Saccharomyces cerevisiae S288C: one gene and its partner. The gene in region 1 interacts genetically with each later gene. Each region holds a gene or a part of one and is shown in the gene's direction. Other genes may lie near its edges.

The links. A genetic interaction does not mean that the proteins touch.
Region 2: of LEU5 (region 1) and FMP10, a mutation in one rescues a mutant of the other (synthetic rescue), as found in Saccharomyces cerevisiae (2 studies listed by BioGRID, with this or other methods).

The regions. Positions count from the first base shown.
Region 1 is NC_001140.6:102,957-110,385, forward strand, and holds LEU5 (coenzyme A transporter), read left to right. Parts: upstream 1-5,855; coding exon 5,856-6,929; downstream 6,930-7,429. Other genes in the region: ESCRT-0 subunit protein HSE1, read left to right, coding at 1-1,014; 60S ribosomal protein eL14 RPL14B, read left to right, coding at 1,321-1,449, 1,848-2,135; oxysterol-binding protein related protein OSH7, read left to right, coding at 3,099-4,412; QCR10 (ubiquinol--cytochrome-c reductase subunit 10), read left to right, coding at 4,870-4,875, 4,939-5,166; TCD1 (tRNA threonylcarbamoyladenosine dehydratase), read right to left, coding at 7,072-7,429. UniProt on the Saccharomyces cerevisiae protein: Required for the accumulation of coenzyme A in the mitochondrial matrix.
Region 2 is NC_001137.3:551,023-556,318, forward strand, and holds FMP10 (Fmp10p), read left to right. Parts: upstream 1-1,502; coding exon 1,503-2,237; downstream 2,238-5,296. Other genes in the region: SLO1 (Slo1p), read right to left, coding at 1-100; YER181C (uncharacterized protein), read right to left, coding at 451-774; FAU1 (5-formyltetrahydrofolate cyclo-ligase), read right to left, coding at 2,312-2,947; TOG1 (Tog1p), read right to left, coding at 5,274-5,296.

The DNA.
Region 1 (7,429 bases):
CAACTGTCTGATTCATTCAAGGATGACCCATCATTACGCGCCATGGGAGATCTATATGACAAAATTAAAAGAAAGGCTCCATATTTGGTACAGCCTAATGTACCAGAGAAGCATAACATGAGTACCCAGGCAGACAACTCAGATGATGAGGAATTACAAAAAGCACTAAAAATGTCTTTGTTTGAGTACGAAAAGCAAAAAAAGCTACAAGAACAGGAAAAAGAAAGTGCCGAAGTCCTTCCGCAGCAACAGCAGCAGCATCAGCAGCAGAATCAAGCTCCTGCTCACAAAATACCGGCACAAACCGTTGTGAGAAGAGTTCGGGCTCTATATGACTTAACCACAAACGAACCGGATGAATTGTCCTTTAGGAAGGGCGATGTTATTACAGTGCTGGAACAAGTATATAGAGATTGGTGGAAGGGAGCTCTTCGAGGAAATATGGGTATATTTCCATTAAATTATGTAACACCGATTGTTGAGCCATCGAAAGAAGAAATTGAGAAGGAAAAAAATAAGGAAGCCATAGTATTCTCTCAAAAAACTACCATAGATCAACTTCATAATTCGCTTAATGCAGCTTCTAAAACGGGAAATTCAAATGAAGTTTTGCAAGATCCTCATATTGGAGATATGTACGGATCTGTAACGCCTTTGAGACCTCAAGTTACGAGAATGTTAGGTAAATATGCTAAAGAAAAAGAAGACATGTTATCCCTGCGTCAAGTCTTAGCAAATGCAGAACGCTCATATAATCAACTAATGGATCGTGCAGCTAACGCACATATCTCACCACCAGTTCCAGGCCCTGCACTCTACGCAGGAATGACTCATGCTAATAATACTCCAGTAATGCCACCTCAGAGGCAGAGTTACCAAAGCAATGAGTACTCACCTTACCCTTCTAATTTGCCAATCCAACATCCTACGAATAGCGCAAATAATACCCCACAATACGGTTATGATCTTGGATATTCAGTTGTTAGCCAACCACCACCTGGTTATGAACAATAGCCCTTCAACTTATATAGCACCTTTACATATCTTTAATTTTTACGAAGAGCATTTTATTCAACTTTTGTACCTTTAAAGACGGTTTTCAGCCCACACATTTTTTGTTATTTTACACCACACAGTAAAACTTTCTTGCTTTTTTTTCTTGAGACTCCCCGACCATTGTTCGATATTCCAATTTTCGCAATCTTCAGAAAAGGGTATCCTAACATTCTAAATTAATAATAAAGAAGAGAGGCTACAAGCATTTATTAGTGTGAAGCATTTAAAGTAACTTCAGGAAATAAACGCGCAAATAAACCAAAAATGTCCACTGATTCTATTGTTAAAGCCTCCAACTGGAGATTAGTCGAAGTCGGCCGTGTCGTTTTGATCAAAAAGGGTCAATCCGCAGGTAAATTGGCTGCTATCGTTGAAATTATCGACCAAAAGAAGGTATGTTGAACCTAAAACCCACCGTGGACAAACTGAGGAGGAAATTGTAAGGAAGAGAAAGTCCCCGTATGTTCAGGGACCGCCAACGACTTCCTGATTCATGCCTGAATAGTGAAACATGTTAAACAATGAGTAGATGCTGAAATATGCAATGGGACAGAGGGCCGGAGATGTTTCTATTCTTTTTTTGCATAAACAACAGTGAAATTTCTACATATTTTGTTACTGGCAAACTCCTTCCCTGGCAGTTAATAACTCCCATACTTAAGAAGATAACTTCAGCACATGTAGCCATACCTCCTCAATTGCCAAATAATCTTTTCCTGTTTTCAAAGTATTTCAATTTACTAACAACTTTTATGAATAATTTTTTAAATTATTCGTTATAATTACTATAGGTTTTGATTGATGGTCCAAAAGCTGGTGTCCCACGTCAAGCCATCAACTTGGGTCAAGTTGTCTTAACTCCATTGACCTTTGCTCTACCAAGAGGTGCTAGAACTGCTACCGTTTCTAAGAAGTGGGCTGCTGCTGGTGTTTGCGAAAAGTGGGCTGCTTCATCTTGGGCTAAGAAGATTGCTCAACGTGAAAGACGTGCTGCTTTGACTGACTTTGAAAGATTCCAAGTTATGGTTTTAAGAAAGCAAAAGAGATACACTGTCAAGAAGGCTTTGGCTAAGGCTTAAAAAAAGAAGAATAATTCTAAAATCCATAGGTAAGTACTGAAAGCAATTTTGCGTTCCGTCAATGCATATTATATATATTAATCTTAACCATTTATGTAAACAACATATCATTTCATTTTGTTCTGGCCACATTCCCTGTTCCTCTCAATATAGTGATGTTTTATAAGGGATATTCTTTGCGGCTCCATTATAAATACACTTTACCATGAGAGTTTCCTCACCAGCTATATTACTCGCGCCAACTACCATTCGACGCAAGGAACAAAAAAGCATCTAGATAATAGTAGAGAGGTGGTGATACACCCTCAGGTTGCTATGACGATATATTCTCCGTAAATTCTTTCTTACGATTATTCCTTTAGATCGGCAAGAGATTTGGGCTTGAGGAAGCGATAAAATTCTTTGTTGACAAAACTCTCCCTTAGTGCTTGTGAAATAAACATCAATAATCATTTTTTTATTTTTCGCGTTTTTAAGATAATGTCTTAACCAATTTTCTAAGTTCGGAACACAAAACCCAATGTTTAATCATTTTTAATAAACAATTTAGTATATATATTATTTTAATTTTATTAAATTAATTAAAATTAAAAGAATTATTAGTCATGTGATTACCATCCTACTTATTATACTAAATCGTTTTGTGGATGTGTAATTGTTGGAGTTCTTCTTATCTACTTTTTAACTTGTGTGTAATTAGAGCTGTACATTCAAGGTAAGGAATGTAATGCACCAATGATTACCTAAATCAAATTCGAAATATGTATCAGTATATTATAGGAATGTTAATTCGCTCGTGCGTACTAATTTTTCCGAGGTCACTCGCAAATCCAGAATTCTAAAGGATGAAAGTATATTTTCTGAAATCGTCAACAAAGAAGGGATGTGATATATTCAAAATGGAAAGATTCCTCCTTCTTTCATTTAGAAATAGGAAACTAACCAGTAAATTAGAAACAAAGAATGGCTCTCAATAAACTAAAGAATATACCTTCTTTAACAAACAGTTCTCATAGCTCAATTAACGGCATTGCATCCAATGCTGCAAATTCCAAACCAAGCGGAGCAGACACGGATGATATCGATGAGAATGATGAATCTGGGCAAAGTATTCTATTAAATATTATTTCCCAGCTGAAGCCAGGTTGTGATTTATCTAGAATCACACTTCCGACATTTATTCTGGAAAAAAAATCGATGTTGGAGAGAATCACTAATCAATTACAATTCCCAGATGTTCTTTTAGAAGCACACTCCAATAAAGACGGGCTGCAAAGGTTCGTTAAAGTGGTAGCATGGTACCTAGCAGGTTGGCACATTGGGCCCAGGGCTGTGAAGAAGCCCCTAAATCCCATTCTTGGAGAACACTTTACAGCTTATTGGGATTTGCCTAACAAGCAACAAGCCTTTTACATTGCAGAACAAACGAGTCACCATCCTCCTGAATCTGCGTATTTTTACATGATTCCAGAATCGAATATTAGAGTTGATGGAGTTGTTGTGCCAAAATCGAAATTTTTAGGAAACTCAAGTGCTGCAATGATGGAGGGGTTAACTGTATTGCAATTCCTTGATATCAAGGATGCAAATGGTAAACCAGAGAAATATACTCTATCGCAACCAAATGTTTACGCAAGGGGAATTCTGTTTGGCAAGATGAGGATTGAATTGGGAGATCACATGGTCATTATGGGTCCTAAGTATCAAGTGGATATTGAGTTCAAAACAAAGGGCTTTATTTCTGGTACCTATGATGCAATTGAAGGTACAATTAAGGATTACGATGGTAAGGAATACTACCAAATTAGTGGTAAGTGGAATGATATTATGTATATCAAAGATTTGAGGGAAAAAAGCTCTAAAAAGACTGTTCTCTTCGATACTCATCAGCATTTTCCTCTAGCTCCTAAAGTCCGCCCATTGGAGGAACAGGGAGAATACGAATCGAGAAGGCTTTGGAAGAAGGTTACGGATGCGCTGGCTGTACGTGACCATGAAGTAGCTACAGAAGAAAAGTTTCAGATAGAAAACCGCCAAAGAGAGCTGGCCAAAAAGAGGGCCGAAGACGGCGTTGAATTTCATTCAAAACTATTTAGAAGGGCAGAGCCAGGTGAGGATTTAGATTATTATATTTACAAGCACATCCCTGAAGGGACCGACAAGCATGAAGAACAGATCAGGAGCATTTTGGAAACTGCCCCGATTTTACCAGGACAGACATTCACTGAAAAATTTTCTATTCCGGCTTATAAAAAGCATGGAATCCAAAAGAATTAGGCTTCTCATTCTATTTTAATTATACTAGTACGATTTCTCACTCTGTAATTTAATATCAGTGTAATATGCACCTAGTTATGGGTAGTTTTTGCTAACGTTACGAGCCGCGAAACTGTCCTCAATCTTCACCACTACCTCTAATGACTGAAGAATGCTATGCGATATAACGCTGTCGCACTTTGAATATATACTTATATTTACATAGTTTTCAAGTGCGTATTACTATTGCAAAGTAGTATTTTGTCACGTGATTTTGATCCAATTAAAACTAAATATGGTTCAACCCGTTGTTTCCGCATCAAAAAACCATACCATTTATCAAGGGGACGGGATATATCACATAACAGTTTGAATGCATAATTTGTTATAGATATCTTCTGGAATAATCTTCACAGCAAAAGCGCAAGTCGAATAATATATCGATAAATACAATCCATAAGACTTAAAACTAACCTCAATGGCGGTAAGTATCCTATCATATTATGTGAGCTAGAACCGAATTAGTATACTAACATTTATAATACAGTACACTTCTCATCTGTCTTCAAAAACTGGTCTACATTTCGGTAGACTTTCTTTAAGAAGTTTAACAGCTTATGCTCCGAATTTAATGTTATGGGGTGGTGCTAGCATGCTTGGGCTATTTGTATTCACAGAAGGATGGCCTAAGTTTCAAGATACGCTATACAAAAAGATTCCGTTGTTAGGACCTACATTGGAAGATCATACTCCACCAGAAGATAAACCTAATTGAAGCCAAAACATCCAACCGGCTGAGTGATTTTATTTATTTGTTTTACGTTCTTTTCTATCATTTTGGAAGAGGAATTAATGCAAAACACATTTGTATTTTTTTTTATTTTTGCATATTCTCGATTATCTATACATATTTTTAAACTGGATCATAAAAGGTATAAAAAGTAATTGATCCATACAACATTTTTAAATATTTACCCCTCTATTTTCAGAATATTTACTAAAACATCAGTTATCAAAGAGTAGGGAAAAGTTAACTACAGGTTTGTTTTTCCTCTTTTTATGTATCTTTTGAGCTTTGTAATTGGGCAGCACATCTCTATGTTTTCAGGGAAACCTATTTCATTCGCCATTTTGATGATTTAGGCATACGCCAATGCTAACGCCGTTTCTTGTAATTTCTATTTTTTCAAATGGAGTACTTTACCTTCCTCCCGCAGCTGGAACTTTCAACCCGCCGGAAGAAAAGACCAAATAATATTATAATTAATATTTAAAACCCTTGAAAGATCATCTCTTAAAATAACCTCAAATAGTGTAAATCCAAGCACTTGAAAACTTTGCCGTTTTAGAACTCGTTAAATCCTTTAAGAAGGACATAACAGCCAGAGTAACAAAATAGTTTGCTCGTGAAAGCACCAGTGAAATTTCTCGAGGTAACTGCTAAAATAAACACAGTTCTTAAGTATGACGCGAGATAGCCCAGATTCTAACGACAGCTATAAGCATATAAACAAGAATACTACACAAAAAACCTCGTTTGATAGAAATTCATTCGATTATATTGTACGATCGGGATTAGCTGGAGGTATATCAGGTTCATGTGCGAAAACACTAATCGCACCCTTAGATAGAATAAAAATTTTATTTCAAACATCAAATCCGCACTACACAAAGTACACAGGCTCACTAATAGGATTAGTAGAGGCAGCCAAGCATATATGGATCAATGATGGGGTAAGGGGGTTTTTTCAAGGCCATTCAGCAACCCTTTTAAGGATTTTTCCATATGCTGCTGTCAAATTTGTTGCTTATGAACAGATTAGGAATACCTTGATTCCCTCAAAAGAATTTGAGTCACATTGGAGAAGGTTGGTGAGTGGTTCACTGGCAGGATTATGCAGTGTTTTCATAACATATCCGTTAGATCTCGTGAGGGTTAGGTTAGCATATGAAACAGAACATAAGAGAGTAAAGCTAGGAAGAATAATCAAGAAAATATATAAGGAACCAGCTTCAGCCACGCTAATCAAAAATGATTATATTCCTAACTGGTTTTGTCATTGGTGTAATTTTTATAGGGGTTATGTTCCAACTGTACTTGGCATGATACCATATGCAGGTGTTTCCTTTTTTGCTCACGATTTACTTCATGATGTGCTGAAGAGTCCTTTCTTTGCCCCTTATTCAGTATTAGAACTTTCAGAAGATGATGAATTGGAAAGAGTACAGAAAAAGCAGAGAAGGCCTTTGCGTACGTGGGCTGAATTGATCTCTGGTGGTCTAGCTGGTATGGCCTCCCAAACGGCAGCATATCCATTTGAAATTATTAGGAGAAGGCTCCAAGTAAGTGCACTGTCACCAAAAACTATGTATGATCATAAATTTCAATCGATATCTGAAATTGCTCACATAATATTTAAAGAACGTGGAGTACGTGGATTTTTTGTTGGTCTAAGCATAGGTTATATTAAAGTAACACCTATGGTTGCATGTAGTTTTTTCGTCTATGAAAGAATGAAATGGAATTTTGGCATTTAATTATGCATCGCATTTTGTTTTATTTGCATATCGCAATGAAACCGTCTATTCGGGTTCTATAGGAAGTACACTGCATTACACTATGATGTAAATAGTATTAATAAATCTATATTCAATATGTTGTATTTTTGATCTCCCATTGCTAAGAATAGTACTCCTCCTCTTTAAAAAGCCTCTCAATAAAATCGAGAACTTCTTCAGAGTATACAGCTGTCAGTTTCTCACCATCCAGCAAAATCCTTTTTTCGTGAATTTCTTGCTCTTCTTTCGTCATCAGAACAACATTGGTTAAGGAGATTTCTTTGTTAGCTTCCCATTTTGTTAGAGCTAGTTTCGTAGAGTATCCGCTAATAGGAGACTTGCCTCTAAACATTTCTTCAACTATATAACCGACCTCTTCTAATCCAAGCAATGACGATCGCTCCTTATTTTCATTCAACCGCGCCATCTGCTTTTGGAAAGTCTCTAGGATGCTGTCATAAAACTTTAACCTATTTTTG
Region 2 (5,296 bases), on another chromosome or scaffold:
TCCTCTCATTTTTTGTTCCAGCTTCTCTTTCGCCAAGATTAACTTCAGAGGATGGCTGCTTGCCCGTCGGCGAGCCAGTACTAATGTTCTCCGCTGACATTGTCCTATTTGTTTGTTTGCTATTATAATTTATCTAGTCAACAACTTCGCAGATCTACAAACTGGTCCTTAAGATGTTTTATTGAAGACATCATTTTTTATTTTTTTAAGCAGAACGTGCTGTGCTCTCCCTTTTGGGCCTTTTTACGATTTTCAAAAAAATTGGTCTCTAGCGGGATCGAACCGCTGATCCCCGCGTTATTAGCACGGTGCCTTAACCAACTGGGCCAAGAGACCTGTAATCTGTGTTAAACCTGCATAAATTATGAAATCATAGCAACGTTTCAAATACTTCAGATGCCCCCATCCCTTCGTGTAGATGATGAAATGAAACTCTAGAATATCATCCATTTAGTAGCATTCTTGCTGCTGGTATAGTATCATATGAGATCTAGGAAGATGAAATGAAGCTTGAGAAAGAGTTAGCAAGTTTAATGGAAGCTGAAATGCAAGAATTGATAATGTAATGGGAAAATGAAGCATATAAAACGATAGGAAAAATAATCGTAATATTATTGTATGCAAATACCGATTAAATTTGAGGATCCCTATACCCTTGAGGAGAAGTTCTAGTATGTTCTGTATACATAGTATTGAAGCCTCTATCAACAATGGAATCCCGATAATTATCACAAAATTCACACAAACCTCAGATAAACGTAACAGTATTAGCATACATAATTATACCCAGGCTTCTCCCACAGTGCGCATGATTCGCTACGAAATCATCAATTTCACATAATATTGAGATTGCATTTGTTTTTGTTTCTTGCGTTGTCACTTTTAATTCTGCTGTATTATCAACTCCTGCACTTAGCTTCTGCAAGATAAAATGACGACTTGAGCATCATTCTCAGATTCAGTTGAAAGTTGCTGACGATTTTCAGGGGTCCCATTTCTAGTAAAACGACATTAGACATATACTAGAAGTTCTCCTCAAAAGATACAGGAATCAATAAAAGAGAATCGGCAATTCTAAATAGCATATTATTATTACTTCTTTTGCTTTGTAAGTTGTAATTTACAATCCTATTACATTATCGTTTCTTGATTTCAACTTCCATTAGATTTGATTATGACTGCCATCATTTTGGGTCACCGTACGTGAACATTGGTTTGCAACAGGAATAAAAGTCTTGAGATGTTGTACTCTGAGCAAATAAACAAAAGGAATTCTTTCTAATATTTCACAAAACTGATTTCCAAAAATGTCTCTAAGTACTCCATTAGCGACACATTTTACATTTCATTTATTTAACATAATACCTTATTTAAAGATTGATTAATTTTCGATGAGGCATACCCCTTGGCAGAAAAGGAACAAACTCACAAAGTGCACAAAGAGTTTATAAAGAAACTAAGAAAAGTAAGGAAGAGAAAGAGACCGTACCAGCAAGGCCAAGATGTTTAAAAGAATCGCAATAGCCCAGATAAGAACGTATACAAATGGCGTTGTTTTCAAGACAGCCTCTAAACCCAAAAGAAGATGGATTCCATGGACAATTTTTGGGGGAAGTTTTCTTGGAGGGTGGTACTTGACACAGCATATGACGTTCACGGACTTACTAGCTTATTGGAGATATGATGCCCTACCCAAGAACGCAGATGAAGTCGTCAAATATCACGCTGATCTGAATAGACGTTTAAATGGCCTACCCATAGTAAAACAGTTGGAGAATGCTGGTTTTGTACAAGTGATTGCTAATGAAGAGGAGAACTTGTTAGTGTCAAGGGCATTAAATACACCAGGTGGCGTCGCTATACCACCAAGAGTTTACTACAACCCCAGTAGGCGTGAAACTGTCGGGCTATACCATTTAGGAATGAAACTTACTGGTTATCCTTTCTTAATTCACGGAGGCATTTTAGCAACAGTTATTGAAGATTTAATGAAGGAGGCCATTAGACTCGAAAAAGGAACAAAAAATATAAACCAAGAAACCAAGAATTTGAGTATCTCGTACAAGTTCCCCACGTTAGCTAATCAATTTGTTGTAGTAAGAACCACCGATCTTCAGCAATACGGTAACAAAACTAAATTAAAGGCTGAACTTATGGACCAAAGTGGCAACAGGACATTGGTCAAAGCTAATGCCACGTTTTCTAGCGAACAAGGGAATCCAAAAGAAGAAAAATAGATTTGCCGTCTACTTATTTATTTATTTATTTATTTATACAATAGCTGTACCATGTAAATAATACATATATGAAATTATTGAAACCAATGTATGGATCCATCTCCGCATACTATACAATCCATGGAATAATCATGTTTTTCTAAAGGAATTGGAGAGGCCACCTGTTCCATAAGACATAGTCCAACTAGGAGGGGCTTTTGGCCTTCATGCAGTATCTTATACCGTTGGAAAAAATCGTCATAATACCCAGCACCGTGACCCATCCTTGCACCAGTTTTAATATCAAACGCCACTCCAGGCACCAATACGACATCTAGAATATCTGATTCCTCAATATGCGGTTCAGGCTCTTTTAGTTGATATGGACCTTGAGGCTTCAAATCACGAACCATTTTCAAACTACTCATTCGATGGAATATTAAATGTGGATGATGATCTTCCCGTAATTTGAAGTGTTTCGATTCAGAAGTATGAGTACATCTTGGCAGAAAGACCTCCTGGCCATCTTGAAATAAATTCTTAATGATTTCTCCAGTCGTTACTTCTCCTTTATCCATGCTCATATAACACGCTACACGCCTAGAATTGGCGGAAGCGATCAATGAGCGTACTGCTTGAGAAATAGTATGCGACTCTGCAGCGATAATATCGTAGTCAAGAGCATTTATTACCCTTTTGATTTGACGTCTCAGTAATTGCTTAGTGGCCATTAATTTTTTGTAGCTATATAAAGATAGCGTAGCTGACAGTAATTTTTATTTTTGCCATTTCAATGATTAAATATTATTCGGAAGAAATCTGAGAAAATTATATATATCCTTCAAGAGAATGAAGCTGCTAACTGATTAATAAAAACAGCTTTAATCACAAATCTCTCACGACATGAAATAAAACACCCTTGCAAACAGATGTGGAAGACTGATTGCCACAAAGCTTCGGGCTCGCAAGCAGAATGGTTTTCAGGAAGTGACTTACTAAGCTCGAATATTGTCCTAGATAGCAAACAGGCCTTTGATGGAATCAGTTTGTCTCCTGAAGGTTTTTTTGAAATAAAATGATAAATGAGAATAGCAGACCAGTTCTACGGGTAGGATTGAGATATAAAACGAGAAAGGCACTCTCTCACTGAAAAGTAATGAAAAATTATCAGAACTCCAATCTGCTGTCTTTACATCCTCGAGAATATCGCTAAGCTATCGATACTACGAATGATCCAGATACGACAGTCTTCGCTGGCGATCTTTTTGGACTAAATTTGCTCACTGATACACTAAAAAGCCTACGCAACTACACAAAGGTAAGAAACCACAATCGCTACCCATTAATCCTTATTGGCATTGTAGCCCCATATAATAGAAGTGAAAGAGTAACATTGCGCCATTTTTCGCTACTAAATAACCTCAAGAAATGTGTCCAGCTTATGGTTCCCATAGAGCGAGAATATATGACTTAAAGCATATCCCTGAGTGGGTTGCACTGGTACACACTCTGTGATGGTGGAGCACATTAATTAAAACTCAAAAAAATTATCACGATATGGACAAAAATCTAAATGGGCAAGTATCTCTCACAAAAAGACCTCACGTATTTTATGAAATTACAAATTGACGTATTTCAACCTTGTTTACTCTAAAGTTCCCCCATATAGCATAGGGGTGCTTTGGGTTTATTTAATCGTCAAATATAGTCCGATTTGTCTCATTATTCTTGTGTCGGAAAAAAATTTATTGAAGCGACTACTACCTAGATATTCTGCAATTTTTCCTATAATATAATATGCCTCACCCCAATCAGTCCCTCTTTATGACAAGAAATAAGACTACAGTGTTACATCAGATACTCCACATTCCCCCTATCGAAACCCAACAAGAGCGCTATCTCTTATACAACATTTCACAAAAAACATGTGATATGCTTTCAATTGATCCTATCAATATCAAAATTATCATTCTCACTGCATTATCCTTCATTTTCGTTAGTGCGCATCCTCCATTTTGGGACGTGTCTACCAAATAAAGAATGATGCGAGATACAAAGTAGGTGATAACATCAGAACCCGGTGTTAGAATGCAAGGTATAATCAGCAAAAAAAAAAAAAATGTGTAAAAAAAAAAGGTCGGTTACCAGCTTTACTAAATGTTTTCTATTGAATAAAATCATAGAATTCCATAAGTGACTGTGACATTTTCCACCCAGTTGATACAGTTCAATGAATTCTCACTGCAGCTATATTTTGGATGCTTCTCCACTTTGTAATATACATTGTGATGTTTCTTTGATGAAAGATATAAAATATTAAAAAAAGTTGATTCTTACATCTCATCTTTGTCATAAAAATCCTCTGGAATGGCACCTTAGAATTTCTAGGCACAGGAAACTATTCGATTTTTCTAATATATGAATCTAAGTCAAATTCAATATCTATGTTATTTCAGAAAGTGGAGTAGGTGTGCTTTTAAGAGAACGGATTTATGACGGAAAACTAGGTTAAATAGACGAAGAAAAGCTGAAGTAATTATCGTTTTGCTGAAACTTTCAGGATAATCCCTATCATAATATATTCCTATCAAGCGATGAGCAACGGAAAGCTGTGAATTGTGAATGTAACAACAAGACTATGTGAAGCAATTTTTAAGAGTTATTTCATTTAGCAATCTTTTGAGACCCGAAATACTCAAAGAACGATAAAATCGTGGGACGAATAATTAGACTAGCAACAATAAAAGGAGTAAATACAACTAGATTTGTGAGTGTGTGTAATTGCGTGTAGCTTGAAAGACTTACCACAGTGGTATCAACACCATACTCGAATCGTTCTAGATCTTGCATAAAAAAAGGACATTTACTTTTACTTACTAGTTATGAGCCACCTTTGATTTCATGGTACAGCCCATAACCTTCCTGAAAGCGGTGCATAACGTAAGGGACTAGATTAGAATCACAAAACCTTTTATTGCATTCTACAGTATTCGTCTAAATCAAGGGATTTTATTTCCTAATTGAAAGTGATCAATTGTTTAGGTGCATACTTGGTTTTTACTCTCCGAGGTTTTCTTTAG